Linked DNA regions of Mus musculus. The protein of the gene in region 1 interacts with the protein of each later gene in a pairwise test. Links are inferred from orthologs where the notes say so. Each region holds a gene or a part of one and is shown in the gene's direction. Other genes may lie near its edges.

Region 1 (2,366 bases):
CATCCCTTCGGTCCCTGACACCCCTCTCCACCTCACAGTACTATGAGATGTCCTACGGATTGAACATCGAGATGCACAAACAGGTAAGTCTCACTGTCCTCCTCCATGTCCTCAATGCCCTGTGATTCCCAGACTGAGCGTTAAGGCCACTCCCGTTACCCCCTCCCACCCCTCCAAGTGCCCCAGGTACTGAGGGAAAATCGTGTGTTCCAGGCGGAAATTGTGAAGAGGCTGAATGGGATTTGCGCCCAGGTTCTGCCCTATTTGTCACAGGAGGTAAGCAAGCCACCAGCAGGGGGCAGTGGGGTCCCCTCCGCACCTTGCTGAGCACTCCCTGGGCACGCACCTGCCCTTTCTGAGCTTAGCAAAGGTGAGACGTGGAGCAGCTGCACTCAGACCCCTGTGGCAAGGCAGAAAGAGCTCCCTGGGTGGGCGGGCACAGGCGATGGGAGCCCCCCCCCAGCTCTAAGGAAATTCCTGTGAAGTTGGATTCCTAGTCTCCCACCCCAGCAGCCCCTGAGCCCCTAGGACAGGACTTCTCTTGCGCTTTTGCACTGGTTGCCTACTGCACAGGAGTCGCCATTCCCCCGCCCCCGCCCCTCAGTCCCTTTCCAGCTTTGCCTGAGAGAACTCTGTCCCCTCCCTTGCCTATTCCAGCATCAGCAGCAGGTCCTGGGAGCCATCGAGAGAGCCAAGCAGGTCACGGCTCCTGAGCTGAACTCCATCATCCGAGTAAGTCGGAGCCTCTGGTGGACTGGGGACTGACTTGACCTGGGTGGCCAGGGTCAGGTGACAAGACCCTGGGCTGACTCTGTCACCCCCACCCCCACCCCACAGCAGCAGCTCCAGGCTCACCAGCTGTCCCAGCTGCAGGCGCTGGCCCTGCCCCTGACACCGCTGCCTGTCGGGCTCCAGCCACCGTCCCTCCCTGCAGTCAGTGCAGGCACAGGCCTGCTGTCACTCTCTGCTCTGGGTTCTCAGACCCACCTCTCCAAGGAGGACAAGAACGGACACGATGGGGACACCCACCAGGAGGATGACGGAGAGAAGTCGGATTAGCTCTTGGGGAAGGGGGAGGGGGGAGACCAGGGGAGACAGGCACAGAGAGCGCAGTGTTCTAAGGGCCACACAGCACACAGCTCTGTCACTACCCAAGCTTACACCTCCAGTCCTGGTTCTGGCTGTGCACCCTGGGCCTAGGGGACGCCAGAGGGACACCCCAGGCTAAGGGTTCTTCCCCACCTTCAACATTTCCCTGGGCCACAGCCACCAATCTCGGCCCAGAATGTACACAACGCTAGCTGCCCCTTTCCACCCTGTGCACCCCGAATCTGCCCCTATCCCCTTCTCTGCTTCCTGCACTGCACACCTGCTAGTCCCAGACCCCTCCCCCCAGCTCCCCCAGCTCCGGTTCCCTCAACCACAAAAGAAGGGGACAGAGAGAAAGCATTGGCTCGGGACTGCAGTGGGGGTGGGCACCCCACAAACTTCCCTCCCCTCTTCCCCAAATAAACGTGAGGGTTAAAAGTTGGTTTGTTTATGATTTCTTTCTTGTGCCAGTATTCTATAGCTATCATCTCAGAAAGGAAAAGAAGGAAGCCCCAGGAGTGTCTGTCATAGGGTTAGCTTTGTTGGTCGCCTTGGTCTCTGTCCAGAGGTCAAAGGCCAAGCCGCTGTACTGAGGATGGGGTCTAGCTGTGCCTTCAAAATAAAAACATGAAAAGGTTGGCCACTGTGTCCCTGCTTCTGTCTTGTGGGTGGGGACCCCTTTCCTCAGGGCACCCCGTGTCCTGCAATAAGACATCCCTGGAGCAACCAAAGACCCAGAGAGGGTGAGCTGGGGACCTGGGCCCAGACAGTGCAACTCAGTGCTCAGATTTCACACTGTTTTGGCAGGGTGGCTGTGGTACCCACATGGGTCCCTTGGTTACCTTCTGGGAGATGGCCTGGATGCTCCCTGTACCCCTCCCAAGCTAGGCTGTCCCCTGGGCATGCGCCTCGGTTTGGGGACCTTTTCCTTTCTTGTTTTTCTGAAACAGGGTTTTCTCTGTATAGCCCTGAATGCCCTGGACTCATTCCTCAAACTCACAGAAATTTTCCAGCCTCTGTTTTCCAAGGCCAGGGATTAGTCTTGTGTGCCACCTGTTTTCTTTATCTGCTTTGTTTTCTGTTTTGTTTTTCTGTTTGCTGGTTTATCATGTCTGTGTCCTGTTTGAGGACGCCTTGCAGGGATCTGTTCTCTTCTACCGTCTGTCCCAGGAATCAAACTCGGGGTGTCAGGCTTTGCAGCAATTGCCTCTACTGGCAAAGCCACATCTCACTGGACTAGTTTTTGTTGTTTTTAGGCTGGCCTGGAACTTGGTTTG
Region 2 (3,652 bases), on another chromosome or scaffold:
TGTAGATCAGGCTGACCTTGAACTCACAGATCTAGCTGCCTCTGCCTCCCGAGTGCTGGGATTAAGGGTGTGTGCCACTACTGCCCAGCTGAGTTTGGATCTTCAGTGCCCACACAGAGGCCAGGTGTGATATGCAACCTTTTTTTTTTTTTCTTTTTTGATCTATTTATTATTATATGTAAGTACACTCTAGCTGTCTTTAGACACACCAGAAGAGGGCATCATCTCATTTTGGGTAGTTGTGAGCCACCATGTGGCTGCTGGGATTTGAACTCAGGACCTCTAGAAGAGCAGTCAGTGCTTTTAACTGCTGAGCCATCTCTCTATCCCATGATGTGCATCTTTTGTCCTAGCACAGGACGGGTGGATCCCTGAAGCTGGCTACGTTAGTTGGACCAGTGAAGTCCAGCTTCCATGAGGAAGGAACCTTCTCTTAAAACATGAGGTGGAGAGCTACCAAGGAAGACACCGGCTGTTGACCTCCATTTTCCACATATGTGATGCACAGCCCCCCATGTACCACATAAACAATCCTATCTTAAGAATATTGTTTGTTTGTTTTTAAGAATTATTTATTTATTTTATGTATAAGAGTACACTATAGCTGTCTTCAGACACGCCAGAAGAGGGCATCAGATTCCATTTACAGATGGTTGTGAGCTACCACGTGGTTGCTGGGAATTGAACTCAGGACCTCTGGAAGAACAGTCAGTGCTTTTAACAGCTGAGGCATCTTTCCAGCCCAAGAATATTGTTTTATGGGGGAATTTTAGAGAAGTTTTAGGAAGAGAAAGAATATGGCCAAAATACATCATATGAAACGCTCAATAAATAAAAACATTTAAAAAGTGTTTTTTTATTTTATTTAAAACATTTTTCAGCACTCCGGAGGCAGAAGCAGGCAGATTTCTGAGTTCGAGGCCAGCCTGGTCTACAAAGTGAGCTCCAGGACAGCCAGGGCTATACAGAGAAACCCTGTCTCGAAAAACAAAACAAAACAAAACAAAAAATGATAATGATATCAAAATGTTATTAGCACATACCATTAATCTCAGTGTTTGAGAGGCAGAGGCAGGAAAATCTCTGAGTTCGAGGCCAGCCTGGTCTATAAATCAAGTTCCAGGACAGCCAGGGCTACACAGAGAAACCTTATCTTGAAAAACCAAAAAAAAAAAAAAAAAAAAAAAAAAAAAAAAAAAATGTAATTACACTGTTTTCCCCTTTCCCTTTTATTTTTTAAAATTTATTTTTATAATATTTTATACATATGAATGTTTTGCTTTTGTGTGTCTGTGCACCACATGGTGCTGAGGAGGTCAAATGGGGACATTGGCTCTCTTGAAACTGGAATTGTGAGCCACCATCTAGGTGCTGGGATTCAAACGGAGGTCCTCTGCAAGAACAAATGTTCTTAACTTGGGAGCCATCTCTGCAGCTCCTCTCTTTTACTTACTTACTTTAGACTTATAAATGAGGACACTCTCCTACACTACTTATTTTAGACAGGATCTCACTATGTATTCCTGGCTGGCCTGAAGCTCACTCTGTAGACCAGGCAATTTTTTTAAAAAAGATTTATTTATTATTATACATAAGTACACTGTTGCTGATTTCAGACACACCAAAAGAGGGCGTCAGATCTCATTATGGGTGGTTGTGAACCATCATGTGATTGTTGGGATTTGAACTCAGGACCTTTGGAAGAGGAAGAGCAGTCAGTGCTCTTACCCGCTGAGCCATCTCACCAGCCCCAGGCTAGTCTTAAATTCATAGAGATATTCTCCCTGAGGGCTGGGATTAAAGGTGTATGCCACAATGCCTCTAACTCTTAAAAAAAAGGAAAAAAAAAAAAGAACAGATTTGTTTTATTCATGATTGCTTGCTTGCATACATGTACCCTCAGACCCAGAAGTGGGTGTTGGATCCCCTGGAGTCACAGATGGTTGTGAGTTGCACGTGAGTGCTAGGAACTGAGCCTGGGTCCCCTGCAATGGACGCCAGTGCTCTTAGCCACTGAGCCATCGCTCCCTGCTTCCTTAAGAATATTTTTTACCCGGGCAGTGGTGGCGCACGCCTTTAATCCCAGCACTTGGGAGGCAGAGGCAAGCGGATTTCTGAGTTTGAGGCCAGCCTGGTCACAAAGTGAGTTCCAGGACAGCCAAGGCTATAACAGAGAAACCCTGTCTCACAAACAAACAAACAAACAGAATATTTTTTAATATGCATATTCTCTTTCCTTGCCATCTATATTGAAGACACTGGGAGTAAGAGTGACAATGTGTTGTTTGTGACTTTGTCCTTGCTGTCCCTTTGAATTTCCTGTAACTTGCCCATTTAGCTTGGAGATTGACAGTTTGATTATGTATGCGCCCTTTCTACAAAATTATTTTTAAATAATTTCAGGCTTCTAGAAAATTTGCTAAGTAGGACAGAGTTCTTGCATAACCCTCCCTCAGGTTCCCTTAGTCTTAAGTTTTCTTTTTTTAAAGATGTATTTATTTTTAATTTTTAATGCATATGGGGGTTTCGCCTGTATGTATGGTAGTATACCTTTGTGTCCGGTCAGAAGAGGGCATCAGATCTCCTTGATCTGGAGTTACAGATGGTAGTGAGCCACCATGTGTGTGGCTGTTAGGCATCAAACCTATACCCCCTGGAAGAGCAGTCAGTGTGCTCTTAATTGCTGAGCCACTTCTCCACGTCTTTGGTGTTAACAGTAGCATATAACCATGGAAGCATTAATAACACTGTTCAGTTTTTCAGGGCTTCTCACTCACTCCCTATTTCTGGTGCAGAATCTAACTCAGGGATATGGCATTTAGTTGTCATACCTTTTTTTTTTTCCACCAGTCGGTGACAGTTCCCTTTCTTTCCTCTCTTTTACAACCTTGAAATGTGAGAAGACTATTGGCCATTACACCCTGGAGCATCCTTCCATAGGGTGACATGATGCTGTGTCTTGAAGAGATTGCTATGTGTTTGATGTGAGGACATTGCAAGAGTGATCTTGAACTCCTGTTTATTTGAGTGGACTCCTCACCCCTTAGGTTTCTGCGTTCTGCTGCTGCTGCTAACCTGAAATTTATTTCAGCAGACACTTTTATGTTCTTTTCTAGACTCCAAAATGAACCTGAACGACTTCATCAGCATGGACCCTGCAGTAGGATGGGGAGCTGTCTACACGCTGCCTGAGTTTGTGCATCGGTTCAGCAGCAAAACCTACCAAGCCTGACATCCGGGCTGCAGCTAGAGAAGCTCTAGGGTCTGAGTAAGCCATCCTTCCATTTAAGAGAGAGCGTGGTACAGGTGGCCTATAGGGATATTGTTCTCACTAAATGTGAGTGGAAACATTAGTGAACACAGATGAAAATGAATGACTAAGTCCCCCACCCCCTTTTTTTAGGCTGGGGATCTATCCCAGAGTTCTATCTCCAACCCTAAACAGTCAGACCCCAGCCTCAGACATAGATATGCCACATTCGGTATATGGTTGCTAAAATGTTTCCATGGCTTGCTTACTTCGGTGTGTGATGACGTAGGCCAGCAATTGCTTTTGTAAAACTAGAGGTGTGGACCTGGAGTCGGCTCCTTTTGTCTGCTTCCTCTGCTTCCTGTCTGGCTAGACTCTAAACTCCTTGAGCACAGGTTTGTG
Region 3 (3,752 bases), about 46 Mb from region 1:
GGTTTCAAACTAGAGGGACGTTTCCTCTGGCCAGTCGGCCACGCTTTCCACCCCCACCCTCCCTTTCCCCAAAGGCCTACACAACCCCCGCGTGCCCAATACCCCCCCCCCAACCCTCCTAGCCGTGGGCGTGTAATGGGAACCAGATGGGACTAGAAGAAACCGAGGGGGTTGGGCTCCTTGAAGGCGGTCCTCCACGGTGGACAGTCACGTAGACTACTCTTAGCCTTTTGCTCAGCTTCCACTTCACTGTCCAGAGAGGTTCAATAACTCATGACCTCAGAGAAGGTACCTGCCTTTTCCTGGCTTTGCTATCTAGTCGTCCAAGCAGTAAGGCCTGGCCATCAGAAAAGAGGGTGCCACGAAAACATGGTAAACCCATCCGGGCTCTACCTAGCAACCCCGACGTGCCTAACCAACGCTCAAGTAAATAGTAGATTCTAGTATAACTTACGACCAAGGTTTGAGAGCCGCCTCTTCATATTACAACCTTTAGGCCAGAGAACGGTGTTAAGATACCGAAGGGATTCCTGCGCAGCCCCGCGCTAACAGGTTTACCCTAAGGATACATCCTAGGGGAGCCGAGCAGGAGGAACAGCACACCCCGACCCTTCGCTAACTTTTCCCCCATCACTTCTAACATTCAAACTAACGGCTCGGCGCGGCCAGAGTGCGGCCAACGGGCGTCCGCGTCGTTGTTTGGACGCGTGTGCACGTACGTGCGCGTGTCTTTGTATACTTGTGCGTGGTTGTGAAACTGCGCTCTCGGCTCACAGGAGTAGGAGTGGTGCAGGGAGTAGGAATGTAGCCGGCGGGGCGCTCACGTGGGTACGTGGGCGCAGAGAGGGCCGGCTGTGCATCCGGCGTGGGCGGCAAGGAGCGACCTGCCCCGCCCGTTGGGTCCCCAAGCTCCCCCTTCCACAGCTCGGCCTCGGTCACCTCGGTCCCCAACTCAGCGCCCGATTCCTGAGTCCCCGCTCCGCCTCCACACCTCCCCCCCCCCCCCTTCCCCCAAGTCTCCTCCTCTCAGTCTCCACAGCAGCCTCTCCAAGGCTCAGGCCTGGGCTCCCACCCACCGCCTCCGGTCCCAGCCCCCGGTTCTGCCCACGCCCTCCTCCCGCCAGCCCGGCAGCCAGCGCAGCGCCGGGCCTCGCTCCCTGTGCGTCCTGCGGGGGAGGAGGCGCGGAGAGGCGGCAAGCGCAGCCGGGGAGGTGGGGGCAGAGGCACAGACAGAGGCGCGGAGGCTCCGAGAGAGAAGACGTGGAGGGAGGGACGGAGCCTGGACAGCGGTGGACCCGGGCCGCGCGCGCCAGGCAAAGAGCAGCGCGCAGCAGGCGCCGGGCACCGAGAGGGGAGGCACTGGTGATCTCTGGCCGTCCATGCACAGAGCTCCCTCTCCCACAGCGGAACAGCCACCTGGCAGAGGGGATAACACACGCCGGACCCCGCAACCCAGATTCAAGTTAGTGGGCAAAAGGAGGTGGCAGGGAGTGGAGATGGGTGGAGTTGGACTCCGGAATGGGGTCTAAAGGGTGGAGGTCGAAAAGAGGACGTGGGGAAGCGGGACGGAGGTGGGAGGTGGAGACTGATGGAAAAGGGGGTGAGTATTCGAAATAGGGGATCCTGGAAGCAAACAAAGACCCGATGAACCTGGATACGATAGAGTACTGCCTCGTTTTCCACTCCAGGTTTACTCAGTGGGCATAACCTGGCACATGAGCCCCCTGCAAAGAATGTCCCCCCAGCCAGGGGAAGCTCCAGAGCTTGATCTGTCAACAGTGTGAGGGGTGGCGGCTCTTAGCTGTCTCAGTGTGTCATTAGCAGGCATCCGGGAGAAGGTGGTTCCTTTGAGTTAAGCATCTGCGGGCCTGAAGGGGGTGTGCTTCAGGCCTCCCTTGTCCGTGAAATGACCATTCACAGGGTGAGGAGGGGTGCAGCCCCTTCCTCAAGAGACCTTCAACCTCTCCCGCACTCCCTTGTCGAAGATAAGGGTGGAAAACAAGCGAGAGGAGAGTAGGCGGGAGCCCCCAGGCGGTTTTCGCCCACAGACGCTGCTACTGTGGGAGTGTGTGGGAAGAAGGGCCCCAGAGCAGAACAATCAAGGCTTCCCTCCCCCTTTCCCAGAAGAGAGGGGCCTGCTGAATAGTAGGAAGGATCAATCAAAGGAGAGGGGGTAACTGAAGGGAACTGGGCAGCCTTTGGAAAGTTGGGACAGAGTCTAGGAAGGGTGCTTTAATCCTTGGAAGCGAAGAACAGGAGCAAGGGTCTACCAGGTTCCCTAAATGCCAAGGAAGAGGCCACACCCCTCCCTCTCAGCTACCTGGCCAAGGAGTACAGCTGCCAGCAATAGCTCTTAGTATTCTAAGTTAACTTTAATATGGGATGTTACATTAAGTAATGTTGAGGCTGCTGAGTATTTAGGGGGAAGAGGTAAGGACTTAGTTGGGAGGGAAGTGGGTCCAGCCATTTCAGGGAAGTTATGAAAAGTCTCAGGGCTCAAGATGGTGCTGCCCAGACCAGAAAGATCAAAGTAAAAGACGAGGTAAGCGTTTTTCCTGATAGCTTAGGTCGGGCAACCGGCCTTCTGTGCTCCTGGGGATCGGAGGGCACTGTCCAGGAAAGAGGGCAGTTGTTAGTGTGGGTTGGTACCCCAGCAGGGCACTCATACTCACTGCCTCTCTCCTGCCCTTTCTCCTCAGGGCAAGTGCCCCAGCCATGGCACTGCCTCGGACACTGGGTGAGCTACAGCTGTATCGGGTCCTGCAACGCGCCAACCTCCTCTCTTACTACGAGACCTTCATCCAGCAGGGAGGAGATGATGTACAGCAGCTGTGTGAGGCTGGCGAGGAGGAGTTCCTGGAAATCATGGCACTCGTGGGCATGGCCACCAAACCACTCCATGTCCGACGTCTACAGAAGGCTCTGAGAGAATGGGCCACCAATCCAGGGCTCTTCAGCCAACCAGTGCCTGCTGTGCCCGTCTCCAGCATCCCACTTTTCAAGATCTCTGAGACAGCTGGTACCCGGAAAGGGAGCATGAGCAATGGGCACGGCAGCCCAGGAGAAAAGGCGGGCAGTGCTCGAAGCTTTAGCCCCAAGAGTCCCCTCGAACTTGGAGAGAAGTTGTCGCCACTCCCTGGAGGACCTGGGGCAGGGGATCCCCGGATCTGGCCAGGCCAGAGCACTCCAGAATCTGATGTTGGAGCAGGGGGAGAAGAGGAGGCCGGGTCTCCCCCTTTCTCCCCACCTGCAGGGGGAGGAGTCTCTGAAGGGCCTGGGGTTGGGGGGGTGGCAGCTGGTGGTGCAGGGGGTGGTCCAGACCGCCTGGAACCAGAGATGGTGCGAATGGTGGTGGAGAGTGTGGAGAGGATCTTCCGGAGTTTCCCCAGGGGTGACACTGGAGAGATCGCATCCCTGTTGAAGCTGAATAAGAAGCTGGCGCGGAGCGTGGGGCACATCTTTGAGATGGACGATCATGACGCCCAGAAGGAAGAGGAGATCCGGAAGTACAGCGTCATCTACGGCCGCCTGGACTCCAAAAGGCGGGAGGGCAAACAGCTTAGCTTGCATGAGGTGAGGACCCCGGGTCCTCAAGGCTGCCCTTCACTCCTGGGGCTCAGTTCACTTGCCTCTGAGACTTCTTCCGTCTTCCACCTCTGTATGACTGTCCCCACGACCACCCAAGCTCCTTCCCCACACTCACACATACCCAACCCCTGCTGCTGCTTTACGTTCTTGTCACCCAAAGGGAA

What was found.
Region 2: the proteins of Tle5 (region 1) and Wdyhv1 interact in binary tests that used the Homo sapiens proteins (3 or more experiments, as listed by UniProt). The two-hybrid records come from large-scale screens. The link is inferred for Mus musculus from reciprocal best matches to the Homo sapiens genes TLE5 and NTAQ1.
Region 3: the proteins of Tle5 (region 1) and Nab2 interact in binary tests that used the Homo sapiens proteins (3 or more experiments, as listed by UniProt). The two-hybrid records come from large-scale screens. The link is inferred for Mus musculus from reciprocal best matches to the Homo sapiens genes TLE5 and NAB2.

What each region holds. Positions count from the first base shown.
Region 1 is NC_000076.6:81,564,635-81,567,000, forward strand, and holds the end of Tle5 (TLE family member 5), read left to right. Parts: intron 1-38; coding exon 39-83; intron 84-178; exon of another isoform or gene 179-213; coding exon 214-276; intron 277-657; coding exon 658-732; intron 733-837; coding exon 838-1,059; 3' UTR 1,060-1,737; downstream 1,738-2,366. UniProt on the Homo sapiens protein: Transcriptional corepressor. Acts as a dominant repressor towards other family members. Inhibits NF-kappa-B-regulated gene expression. May be required for the initiation and maintenance of the differentiated state.
Region 2 is NC_000081.6:58,154,786-58,158,437, forward strand, and holds part of Wdyhv1 (protein N-terminal glutamine amidohydrolase), read left to right. Parts: intron 1-353; coding exon of another isoform or gene 354-418; exon of another isoform or gene 419-540; intron 541-3,116; coding exon 3,117-3,232; 3' UTR 3,233-3,652. UniProt on the Homo sapiens protein: Mediates the side-chain deamidation of N-terminal glutamine residues to glutamate, an important step in N-end rule pathway of protein degradation.
Region 3 is NC_000076.6:127,664,086-127,667,837, reverse strand, and holds the start of Nab2 (NGFI-A-binding protein 2), read left to right. Parts: upstream 1-1,134; 5' UTR 1,135-1,379; coding exon 1,380-1,462; intron 1,463-2,699; coding exon 2,700-3,573; intron 3,574-3,752. UniProt on the Homo sapiens protein: Acts as a transcriptional repressor for zinc finger transcription factors EGR1 and EGR2. Isoform 2 lacks repression ability.